4 separate regions of the Mus musculus genome follow, and all the other regions are reported to be linked to region 1. The links are microRNA targets in miRTarBase. Many come from high-throughput screens and were not tested one by one. Region 1 holds a microRNA gene; each other region holds the end of a gene's coding sequence.

Evidence for each region. Region 1 holds the annotated microRNA mmu-miR-466b-3p (AUACAUACACGCACACAUAAGA, at 1,771-1,792, shown strand). A microRNA usually pairs through its seed, bases 2 to 8, with sites in the 3' UTR of a target mRNA and lowers its output. Matches are read on the target gene's strand: a 7mer-m8 pairs with bases 2 to 8, a 7mer-A1 pairs with bases 2 to 7 and ends in A, and an 8mer does both.
Region 2: miRTarBase lists Bpifc as a target of mmu-miR-466b-3p. Seed matches in the 3' UTR shown: 7mer-m8 at 2,170-2,176.
Region 3: miRTarBase lists Slc25a46 as a target of mmu-miR-466b-3p. Seed matches in the 3' UTR shown: 8mer at 1,810-1,817.
Region 4: miRTarBase lists Zfp462 as a target of mmu-miR-466b-3p. Seed matches in the 3' UTR shown: 8mer at 2,372-2,379 and 7mer-m8 at 1,507-1,513.

Annotation. Positions count from the first base shown.
Region 1 is chr2:10,506,198-10,509,306 of GRCm38, forward strand. Mir466 (microRNA 466) reads left to right here and starts at 1,721; the gene lies at 1,721-1,793. All of the region lies in intron 10 of Sfmbt2 (Scm-like with four mbt domains 2), which reads left to right. Mir467d (microRNA 467d) reads left to right here and starts at 1,433; the gene lies at 1,433-1,517. Mir297c (microRNA 297c) reads left to right here and starts at 2,819; the gene lies at 2,819-2,916. It also overlaps Mir669c.
Region 2 is chr10:85,957,754-85,960,862 of GRCm38, forward strand. Bpifc (BPI fold containing family C) reads right to left here. Exons shown (of 16, transcript NM_177772.4): 16 at 1,938-2,788. The coding sequence ends at 2,666. Rtcb (RNA 2',3'-cyclic phosphate and 5'-OH ligase) reads right to left here and starts at 40. Exons shown (of 12, transcript NM_145422.4): 1 at 1-40.
Region 3 is chr18:31,580,333-31,583,441 of GRCm38, forward strand. Slc25a46 (solute carrier family 25, member 46) reads right to left here. Exons shown (of 8, transcript NM_026165.4): 8 at 1-3,109. The coding sequence ends at 2,859. Among named protein-coding and RNA genes, the nearest start is that of Gm38606, 11 kb to the left of the region's middle.
Region 4 is chr4:55,080,421-55,083,420 of GRCm38, reverse strand. It overlaps Zfp462 (zinc finger protein 462), which reads right to left. Exons shown (of 13, transcript NM_172867.3): 13 at 1-2,755. The coding sequence ends at 2,548. Among named protein-coding and RNA genes, the nearest start is that of Gm42289, 13 kb to the right of the region's middle.

The sequences.
Region 1 (3,109 bases):
TGCTTGTTTAAATCAGGAGGTCAGGAGGTCAAATTCATGCTTTATTTCATGATGACTTAGAGATCTGCCTGGGAATCATGTGATGCCCCCATGTATGTGTATATGTGTGTAACTGTGTGTGGATTTGTGTACATGAATATACATACCTACACACACGTAGACCCATACACAGACACACATATGAATGCCACTCCTCAGTCCATTTGAATGATATGTGACTTAGAGTTTTAAGATTCCTCAGTACTGAATAGGGAGAGGTCTCACTCAGCAGGTGAAATCCCTTGCCAGAGTCAGGTGGATCAGGAGTTCAAATTTGTGCTGAATTTCATGATGAGTTGGAAATCAGCACGGGATTCATGTGATGCCCACCAAGAATGTGCATGTGTGTATAGTTGTGTGCATATTCATTTCTCTATATGAATATGCATATGCACACATGCACACACATTCATAGGAATGGCCAGAGTTATTTCTTAGGTAGGAGGTGAATAATCTTGCTAGAGTCAGGAGAATATGGTGTTCAAGTTTATGTTTAACTTCATGATGCATTAGAGATCAGCATGTGTTTCATTGATGCACACCAAAATGTGCATGTGTGTGTAGTTGTGTGCATATTCACTTCTCTATGTGAATATGCATATACACACATGCAGACACAGGAATGGCACTCATATATCCTTTGGAATGGTATGTGACTCAGAGCTTTAGAGCTTATGCAGTGCTGGGCCAGAGCTATGTCTCAGTTAGGAGGTGGATGCTCTTGCCAGCGTCAGGAGGTCCCAGAGTTCAAATTCATGTTTAACTTCCTGATGAGTTACAGATCAGCCTGTTATTCATGTGATTGTTTCTGTGTATGTGTATAGATAAGTTTGTCTGTACATGCGGATATATGAAAAGACATATATTGACACATATTCACACATGCATGCATACAGAAACACATGGCAGTCATCCATAAGTTTTATATGTGCTTAGAATTTCATAGAGTGTATATTTATGGTACAGTGAAATATCTCGCCAACTAGATGAAAACCGCTTGCCAGAATCAGAAGTCTTGGAGTTCAGAATCATGCTTAACTTAATGATCAGTTAGTGATCATCCTGGATTCGTGTGATGGACCCTAGGTATGTACATGCACACATAATTTTGTGTGCATGTACATGTGTGTATATGATTATACATAACACACACACACACACACACACGTATAAAAGCAAGCACACACACACCAAGGTATGGCATTCATCGATCCATTTGAATGATATATGTCTTAGAATGTTACTGATTATGCAGTAGAAGGACAGTGAATGGTCTCACTCACAAGGTGTAAACAATTGGCATTGTCAGGAGGATCAGGAGTTCAATTTCATGCTTAACTTCATGAGCAGTTAGAGATCATCCTGGAATAATGTGATGGCCCCTATGTATGTGCCTGTGTGCATAAGTGCGCGCATGTATATGCGTGTATATTTTATGCATATACATACACACACCTACACACACATGCACACAGACATGCGGGAATGGCCCTCACGGATCCATTTGAATGATATGTGACCTACTGCTTTGGAGGTTATGTATGACTGGGCCAGGGTGAGGTCTCACAAACCACGGGAAAACCCTTGGTAGAGTCGGGAAGATCAGGAGTGCAAGTTCATGGTAAAGGCATGATGAGTTAGAGGTCATCCTGGCATTCATGTGATTGCCCCTATGTATGTGTATATGTGTTTATGTGTGTGTACATGTACATATGTGAATATGATATCCATATACATACACGCACACATAAGACACATATGAGCACACAGGCACACAGGAATGGCACTCACTCATTGATCTATGTGACTGTGAGCTTTGGAGATTATGTGTGACTAGGTCAGGGAGAGTTATCACCCATCATGTTAAAAATGCTTGTTAGAATCAGGAGGTCAGGAGTTCAAATTCATGCTTTATTTCATGATGACTTAGAGATCTGCCTGGGAATCATGTGATGTCCCCATGTATGTGTATATGTGTGTAACTGTGTGTGGATTGTGTATATGAATATACATACCTACACACACATAGACCCATCCACAGACACAGACACACACACGCATGCCACTCCTCAGTCCATTTGAATGATATGTGACTTAGAGTTTTAGAGATTCTGCAGTACTCAATAGGGAGAGGTCTCACACCACAGAGTCAGGTGGATCAAGAGTTCAAATTCATGTTTAACTTCATGATGAGTTAGAGATCAGCATGCTATTCATGTGATGACCATAAAGAATGTGCATGTGTGTATAGCTTTGTGCACATACACTTCTCTATATGAATATGCATATACACGCATGCACACACACTCACTCACAGGAATGGCCAGAGCTATGTCTCAGTTAACTTACCAGGTAAAACGCTTGCCTTTTGGATCAGCAGTTCAAATTCCTGAATAACTTCAAAATGACCTAGGGATCAGCCTGGCCTCATGGCATCCTCCCCCCATATATGTGCATGTGTGTATAGTTTTGTGTATATGTACATGTGTGTATACAAATATACATCTACATACAGACAAACATAAACACACAGGCACGCACACACACACACACACACACGCGCACACACACAGAGGAATGTCACTCATTGATCCTTTTGAATGACAGGTGACTCAGAGCTTTAGAGATTATGCAGGGCTGGGCCAGTGAGTGCTCTCACTCACAAGGTGAAAATGCTTGCTTGCCAGACTTTGGATGACCAGGAATCAAAATTCATGCTGAACTTCATGATGAGTTCGTGATCAGCTTCGGAGTCTTGTGATGACCCTAGTATATATGCCTGTGTGTATATGTATGTGTGCATGTACATGTGTGTATATGAATATACATATACATACACACATACCCATACAAACATGCATACAAACACACAAAAATTGGCACTCATCCATCTATTTGAATAATTAGTGACTTAGAGTCTTAGAGATTCTGTATGACTGGGGCTGACAGAGAGAGGTCTCAGTCACCAGGAGAAGACTTGCTAGATTCAGGGTGATCAGGAGTGCACATTCATGTTAACGGCATGATGAGTTAGAGATCAGCCTGGCATTCATGTGATGCCTCCATGTAT
Region 2 (3,109 bases), not on the chromosome of region 1:
AAACCACCCCGCAGTCCACCCGCTCCACGCAGCGCCGCCTCTCAGGGCGCAGGCGCGACCAGCTCCGCTCCAGGAGGGAAGATGGCAAGCGCCGAGGCTCAAAACTCTTCGCGCGAGTCCTGATCATCTCGTTACAATGAATTACAGCGCTAGTCTTCACTTGCACTTCCCCCCCCTCTTTCTTTCTCTCCCTCTTTCTTTCTTTCTCTCTCTCTCTCTTCCTTCCTTTCTTCCTTTCTTTCTTTCTTTCTTTCTTTCTTTCTTCTTTCTTCCTTCCTTCCTTTCCTTCCTTTCTTTCCTTCTTCCTTTCTTTTCCTCTTTCTTTCTTTCTTTCTTTCTTTCTTTCTTCCCCTCTTTCTTTCTTTCCCTCTTTCTTTCTTTCTTTCTTTCTTTCTTTCTGTCTGTCTGTCTGTCTGTCTTTCTTCCTTCCTTCCTTCCTTTTTTCTTTCTTTCTTTCCTTTTCTTTCTTTTCCTCTTTCTTTCTTTCCCTCTTTCTTTCTTTCTTTCTTTCTTTCTCCCCCTCTTTCTTTCTTCCCCTCTTTCTTTCTTTCCCTCTATCTTTCTTTCTTCCCCTCTTTCTTTCTTTCTTTCTTTCTTTCTTTCTTTCTCTCTCTTTTTCCTTTCTTCCCCCCTCCCCCTTTCTCTCTCCCTCCCTCCCTTCACCCCCCCCCCTTTTTTAAAGTAAGATCTCGATACTTAGCCTTGGTGAGCCTATGTATCCGGGTTGGCTTCGAACTCTCACAGATACCCTTGCCAATGTCTCCTGACTGCTGCTATTGAAGACATACTGCTTTAAGAATGTTTTTGAGCTGCTCCTGAAACCTCTTCACCCTGGATCAGGTCAACTGCTATATAGAACATACAGTTTGGAGTTCATGCCCCATGAACATTAGTGAAACAGCTGAGCAAGATAAAATACTAATGACGTTTGCAATGTATCAGAATGAGATTGAAGATGTACAACAAACACTCCATTACAAAATGAGCATCCAAAAGAAGCATATCACAACACTGTATCATTTATTTCTACAAATGCTTGTGAAGGAAATCTGCTCTGGCCAGCAATTCCCTACAAAGATGGATAAATCCCTCTTTCAGGGATCACTGTGTTCCATAGCTTTGTTTGGACTGTGTCCTGTGTCTGTACCTTTAAACTTAATTGACTCTTGCTCTTGGGATAAGAAAGCTGGCAGTGATTTGCAGGATAGTCCTACCCTGTGAAAAACACCACCATAGCAATCAGGAAGACTTGGGTTCAGGTTCCGCCTATGCCATTACCACCTTTGTGTGATACATTCCTCTGTTTTCACTTCTATGAAATGGGATCATAATTATTCATAGTGGCTCTGAAGGTCACAGACATGAAACTGGAGGAGTAACTAGACCAGGATGTTAAGTACTTATACAGCCCTCTTCTATCCCCCAGTAACCTAAGGAGTTAAGCAAAGGGTGTGGTTTCTGTTCATTTTTACATATCCACCCTGGCTGTCCCACTCTCCTGCTCCCCTGTCCAGTCTCACCCTGCTGATTAATGACACTAATGTCAACTGTGAACTGCCTAGGTTTAATAAGCTGCACTACCATTTCAGTCAATCTTTTTAAAAAAAGATTTATTTATTTTATTTATGTGAGTACACTGTAGCTGTCCTCAGACACACCAGAAGAGGGCCTCAGATCCCATTACAGATGGTTGTGAGCTACCGTGTGGTGGCTGGTTATTGAACTCAGGACCTCTGGAAGAGCAGTCAATGTTCTAAACTGCTGAGCCATCTCTCCAGCCCTCATTTCATCCAATCACTGAAAGGACACATCCACAAACATAAACAAATGACACAGGACAACCATAGGAAAGATTTAAGGGGCTCTCGGCTCCCTTTTAGTATTGGTGTTTGTAGAACTTCAGTCTTTGCCGAAGTTTTAAAAAAATTAAGTCTTTTCCATTTTTCTGTCATATTTTATTAAAATAAATTCAGGACAGGAGCTTTCACACATAGATTCTGACATCGTTAGAAAACAATTTTAATTAAGCACAGGACAGTAATAGTAAACATAAAACATAAAGTCCAATAAAAGTAGAAAGTCTCTAAAGAGCAGACATAGTCTTACACACACACACACACACAGATACACACAGACACACACACAGAGGCACACACACACACACACACATACATACACACACAGAGGCACACAGACACAGAGGCACACACACAGACACAGACACAAACACAGACACAGAGACACACACAGACACACAGACACACACACAGACACAGACACACACACACACAGATACACACCACACACAGAGGCACACACAGACACACATACACACACACACACACACCTACCAATGCAAATACAGACAAGTTCCTTACAACCTTACCACCTGGTCGGATCCACATGCCTTACTCTTTCCCACAAAGGCTAAACACAGGCACACAATGTGCTTACACATGCTCACATACACAGACCCCACTCCCACTACCTTGTTCCTGTTCATCATTTTAACTGTCGACCTTACTCTAGGTCTCTCAGGGCTCCAGAAGGAGACCTTTTCCACAAGGGCTTTAATATCCAGGATGCACGGTCTTCATCTTCCAGGTTTCTGGTTTCTGGGGGACTGAAGGCTGTTTACTTCCTGGGGTGTATTGTGAGCGGGCCATCAATGGGTTGGCTGTTCTCTCCATGGTCTATGTACTAGGTTCAGATCCCCCCAGCTGTTCAGATTTGGCTGTGGCTTTGAGGATGTGTCATATGCCAGGTCACTAGAAACCAGAAGGTAACCCTGAGAGGAAGGCAGAATAAAGACAATTTTAAATTAAGGCCATATCTGGGTTTGCATGAGAGAGGAAAGTTTCTTTGCCAGGCCTGAAAGCATCAAACTTTTCTCAATCCCTATGTGAGGGCCACTGATGCAAGAAGTGGCCATTCTGGATTACTGTCCCTAGATATGACATTGGTAGTGGGGAGTGAAAAAGAGGGAGTCTGGGAGCTATGAGGAAGTGTCCACTAGTGTGCAGGTGGGAGATGCTTTCTGAAAGTAGAAATATATTTCTACTTTCCCAAACTACAAAAAAACAAAACACAGAGAAGAGGCAGCAGTGCT
Region 3 (3,109 bases), not on the chromosome of region 1:
CTGCTATACAAACTAGTACTCTATTAATAAAAATAAGATGGTACCTATTCAGGGGCAGGGAAGTGATATGTATTATGCCAAATACTTGAAGAGAACGCAGAAATGCCAGCAGTAAGTAGTACTCTAACTTCAGTGTGATGTGAACCCTTAAATAAGTTTTCTAAGTCACTTAACCTAGGTGTGTCCTTGTAACATCTCGCCAGCAAAACACACTCGGACAACCGGGTCCTTCTACGGCAAAGCTTTTTATTGCTTACTTCTCAGGAAGACCCTGAACCCGGAAAATGGAGCTGCTTAAATACCCCTCCGTGTGACGCGTCAGCTCCTGATTAGCTGCTCACTCATCACCCCACTGCTACACCCCGAGATGGGCAGTGACTTGGCACGAATTTACTCCAGCACCCGTGCACATTGCTTGTTTACTAGTTAGGCACTGCAGAAGCCAGCGCCATCTTGTAATGGCGATTGTTCACGGCTCTCCACATAGGTAGTTTTTGCAGGAGCTGGAAATGTCTTTTCTGTTCTACAGCATCCACACCCACATAGACAGCACACATCCTCCATGACCTCGACCAACAACAGTACAGCTGTCAAGGCAGCGTCTTCTGCTTCTCAGATTATGAGATTCTCGAATAAAAGCACTGTAGCGTTTTTTTGCACAATCAGCGAGTGAGTGCTTTGTTGCATTCTACTTAACAGAATCACATCTACGGGGCTATTTGTCATACTGAGTGTAAAAGGTATCAATTCACTGAGAAACACTGGCCAACTAAAATGTGTTTGACTTTCAAAGGTTACATTTTAACAAATTTAAAAAAAAAAGCAGTTAGAAAAAAAAACTCTCTCCATCTTTATTTTAAGGTAATTTGCGTGGATTTCTGCAAGGAAACAGGAAATGAGACTAATCATGTATTTAGTTCAGCAGCAGCATTTTGACTTCAGATGCAATAAATTTATATTACTAAATTCATGGTATCTGTCAATAAATAATCCTTGAATATCTAATCTTCAGGCACATGGAAAATTCCACAAAATTTACCCAGTAAATATTTGATTCCATTTAGACTGTTCTAAACATTTTCTGAAACCAAAATTTTCTGGTTTCTTCTCTGAAACTACCTTGACTTACAAAATGAAATTCTGAGGAAGGTGACTATAAACACCTAAAAATTTAGCAGCTAAAAGTCAGTAAAAAATGTTAACCCCATTTTTACACAGAGAAAAACACGTTAAGAGATTAACCATAAAATACAGAATGTGATCAACAGCATTTATTTTCCCTTTTGAGGAACTGAAGAGTTGACAGCATTACTCCAAAGACACAGACTGGTAGGGACAGCTGCTACTGACACCTTACTTCATGCTTTTCCACGACCATATTAAGCTTCCACTCTGATCAGTCACAGTCCAAACACCCTCTGCAACATTTAACATGTAACATCAGTGTTAGTTTGCATGCATTCTAGGTTGGGCAACACCTGCAGGCACTGCACTTCAGTGTTTGTAAACTTGAGCATAGCCATGAAGAAATAAAATGCTAACTGCTGCATGAGTGACCAGTGAACTATACATCACTTTATTACAGAGTCTAATCCACCATGGGAACACATCAACTTCATTTTATTAAGCTGATTAACAAGTTTCATTTGTTGAAATATAGTGTCTCCTCCTCCTCCTTCGTAACACATAAGGGCAAATTTCCTATGAGGTTTGTACTTTAATTCAGTACTTATCCAAGCAAGTTTAAATAAAGAGTACCAAGAATGTCTCATTTTTATCTTCAGGGTAGCTTATTTGGAGAATAAAACTTTACATACACACACACACACACACACACACACACACACACACACGCACACATACAAAAAAAGGAAAGAAAAAAGAAAGATTGCAGTGATTATTTATGGTGAGCAAGAGGCACAAATCCCCAGAACTTTCATTTTGTTCCCTCTCAGATAAGTTCTTTGAGAAATGAAAGACAGGTGGGGCTCCTTAACGTAAGTGTGGAAACGGTCATGGCTGCCATGATTGTTAGGCTCTTTAAAAGTAGCTAAAATCATCTGATGATCCAAACATCACAAGCAAAGGACAAATTTCAAGTTTCTGACACTGCAATGCTGGACAGGATGCAGGTAAAAAAGCTATTTTCTGGCATTTTGATGTCTTATACTTGATGTTCCAGCAGAAAGTGTCTACCTTCATTTGATGCAATAAGCTGGTCTATGAAAACTGGCAGGGAAGAAGGAAATTCCAAGTTACATGTACACACAGACACAAATGGCTCCATATAATAAATATATACAGCAATTAAAATGGTTAAATACAATTTAAACCCTTCAGCCACTGCTTACACAGTGCCAAAGCTAATCACCAGTTCTTTTCAACGGTGACATACTCTATTTGCTTAAAGGTAAAATCCCAGCACTATCCACTGCTTTAATAATTAACACAGTGACCTGAATCCAAGTTAAACAAACATAACAAATAGTAAGGTCAGTAAAACAGATTCAAGTCATTGCAATTTCATTTTATACTTGATACATTTTTTGTTTCTCCCCAGGATCAATTTTACTTCAGCATGAGTGTTATACTAAAATGTAACTTTACATTTTAAATTTAAAGTATTACCTTTATTGAGTTTTCAATTTTGGAAAGGTTTGACCCAGTATTATATATCTATATATCTATATATCTATGCCTTAAGAAAAATAAAAAGTCAGAATAATTAGCATGAGGTTTTCCACCAGTGGTAATTCCCAGCCTATTTCTTTCCGCGCAGTATTTTTACTTTTATTACTTGAAATGTCATAGCAAATTATCCAACATCTTTTGGTTCAGCCAATCATAGAACCTAAATCTCAAATGCTATTCTGAAGAAGTGTGGAGTAAATCATTTTGGTAATCTGTAAGATGGTTGCATGCAGTGTATACTGTATTATAACAGCACCAAACCCTTTATAGAAACCAAACACTCCTTCCTCCTGCTTTATGGTATTTATACAGTCTCTCATTCCCTCATACTGCGTATTAATTGGAAGTACTTCGTAGCCAAGGTCTGTGTTGTCAATAATTGTGCGTGTTCCTTGAATATGAAGACGATGCAGAACTG
Region 4 (3,000 bases), not on the chromosome of region 1:
GGAGTCAGGATCCCCCTATCTTTCATCAAGTTTCAGGAAACACTGATTATTGGAGTCAATAGGTTATCATTTTGCTATTTATTTTCTTCTCTCAAGCTCTGGAAAAAAAAATGTCCTCTGTATAAATTAAACAACAACAACAAAAAATTTTGTAAATTCTATGTCATTACAGTCAACAGAAAACAGAATGCGTCCAAAATGTGCGGCCACAAAATATCAGGTATATGTTTGAAAAATAAAACAAAAAAATGACATCCTAGCCTTGTTAAAAGGATAATGGTCCCATATTTTTATTATCAGGTTAGCAAAACAAAATCCAATGGATTACAATATTTACATGTTATTTGAAAAATAAAGTAGTGATAGAAGCATGTCACAATTATTTTCTCTTTTCCTTTCGTTGTTTTGTTTGTTTTTGGTAACCATCACAGACATCCAGTCCAGGTATGAAACTGTTTAGTACATTTGAAATGAGGCCAATCAAAAGCGAGTAAGGACACAGAAGAATCTGTCTAGATATTTCACACTTCCCCCTGTTCTGGTTTCCACATGACGGCCCCATCCCTAAAAACAAAATTAAATTAAACATCCTACAAATAAAAATTCTTAATAGCAAAAACTAAAAATCAAAAATAAAAACAAAAATAAAAAATAAAAACAAAGCAAAACCAAGATCATGCTTTTCAAGTACGTACTTACTTCACAAATGCGATATCTTTCCATGGATTTTCTCTGAAGCTGTGTGGGACACTGACACCTCAGTTTACCCTCTTTCCCTTCTGGCCCGCCCCCCACCCCATCAACCCTTCCAAGTTAAAAAAAACAAACAAACAAAAACCCAAACAAGGACAACAAAAGAAACAAAACCTAGGACTCATATTTGCCCACACACATACATCCAAACACCAGCACACGTATGTGCGCACGCGCACACACCCACCCACCCACACACACACGCCCCTAAGCTTCAAGAATGTTCCTTTCCACTTTTTGGAACAAAACCCCATTTTCACAATCATAATGTGCTATAAATGTAGACTTGCTTTCAGTCTAAGCTGCTCTTGGAAAAAAATAAAATAAAATAAACGAAGCCACTGTGGGGAAACAGAGCAGCTAGATGCGCAGACAAAGCACTTTTCCAGGCTCCCTGCAGGATGCGGCATCTCCTGTCCAAGCTCACGGAAGGGATGGCTCCCCAAAGAAATGAGACAGCCTCACAATACACAAAGCAAACAAAACAGAGTTCACAGCACACACGAAGGCCAGCCCAATGTAACAGAAATCGTTGGGGAGACGAAATGTGTTGCTTTGAGAAAAAAAAAAAACAAACAAACCCAAAAGGGTGACGGGACCTCCTTGTCTGGCCCCCCCCACTGCATAGCTGTGCTCGGAGTTTGGTTCTTTAGTTAAATTAAAAAGCAAACAAACACAAAAACAAATTTAAAAGGAAGTTAACCTCTTTGTTATGTTCATGTTTAAAATTATAAAAATTCACACACACACACATACATACACACACACACCCTACACCCTCTAACTCTCCCTTGACCTCAAATTAAACAAACACACAGAGAACAACTCATATGAAGAAAGAACAACTGAATTTGTGCTGTGTTTGTAACACTCAAATCGAGAAAAAAATAAACATGTGGCCAACGAAATCCCACGATCACCATAAAATTAGTTCACATGAACCTACCAAATTCTAAATTATAGCTGAACACTAATAAACAGCTTACCTGGAATACAAGATGACAATTCACACACAGTTATCTAGTAATTAAAGTCTGTTTCTTTTTTTTTTGTTTTGTTTTTTACTAAAATAATTAAAAAAATCACAGTATTTTAAGAAATAAAACCCACGTGGGGATTTTAAGCACAATTTGTGTTCCTTTCTTTAAAACTCTTTTTTTTTCTCCATTCACCATCCTGTCCAGCAGTTCTCTCTACATTTAACCACAAGGGCCACAGGTAGTACAGACAAATGCAGAGAATTCCCTTGGTTAAGTCTGAGGTACTAGGAAACAGGTGACTGTTTTATGCAAAGCAGTTTTTTTTTGTTTGTTTTCTGTTTTGTTATTTTTTTTTCTCCCAAAGCGGCTGCAGTTAGGTCTTGAAAAAGCTTAAGGTATTAAAACTAGAAAAACGCACAGAAAGTTGTGCGCCCAAAAGTTGTTCCCCTAGGAGAAGTCTTCTGTGTCCGGGAGCCTCGGTTTCCACACACTGTCCGAGAGGGTCACGGAGACCACCGTGCCCACGGGAGGTACTTCCCAAACCGCAGCAGATGAAAATCTCCGTGGTGAAGATCCGGAAGGAAGGATGTCGTGACAGGAAAGGAGCCACATATTCCAACCATTTAAATAACTTTAATTTACATACTCACTCACACAGGTACCAGTGCTTTGAAAATAGATTGTTCAGTCCTAAAAGCAGCTTTGTTCTGTCTTCTTCTCTCCTCTGTCTGTCCCCTCCCTTCTCAGCCCACGCCGGCCCGCCCACATTTTCATCACGGTTCAAGTAAGGTTTGATAAGAATTTCACCAAACTCTTATTCGTTTTTGGCCTCTGCATCCTCCAGGAGAGATTTGTCGGCAGCCACTACACAGATGGTTACTGTTTCGCTCTTTAAGGGAAAGTCTATCCCAATTGGCTCATCGTCTTCCTTGGCCTCTATGGAGGGCAGCTGCATACTCTCCTCCACCATCTCCTTTGTATGGATTTCGTTCCTGCTCACTTGGTTGGTATCATGCAATGACCTGGAAAAGCAAACCAGCAGACATGCTGATAAGCCAGGTGTGGTGGCACAAGGCTCTCATTCCCGCAATTAAGTGGTGGAGGCGGGAGGCTCAGGAGTGGTGAGCATGCGCTCCTGTAGGCCCAGCCTAAGTTCAGACATCGTCATCTTTTCTGTGTGTGATTTCAGACAGAGTATCTCAGGACATTCCAAACACGCTAGGCTAGCGTCCCTACTAAGCACAACTCTCTCTGCCTCCCCAGAGCT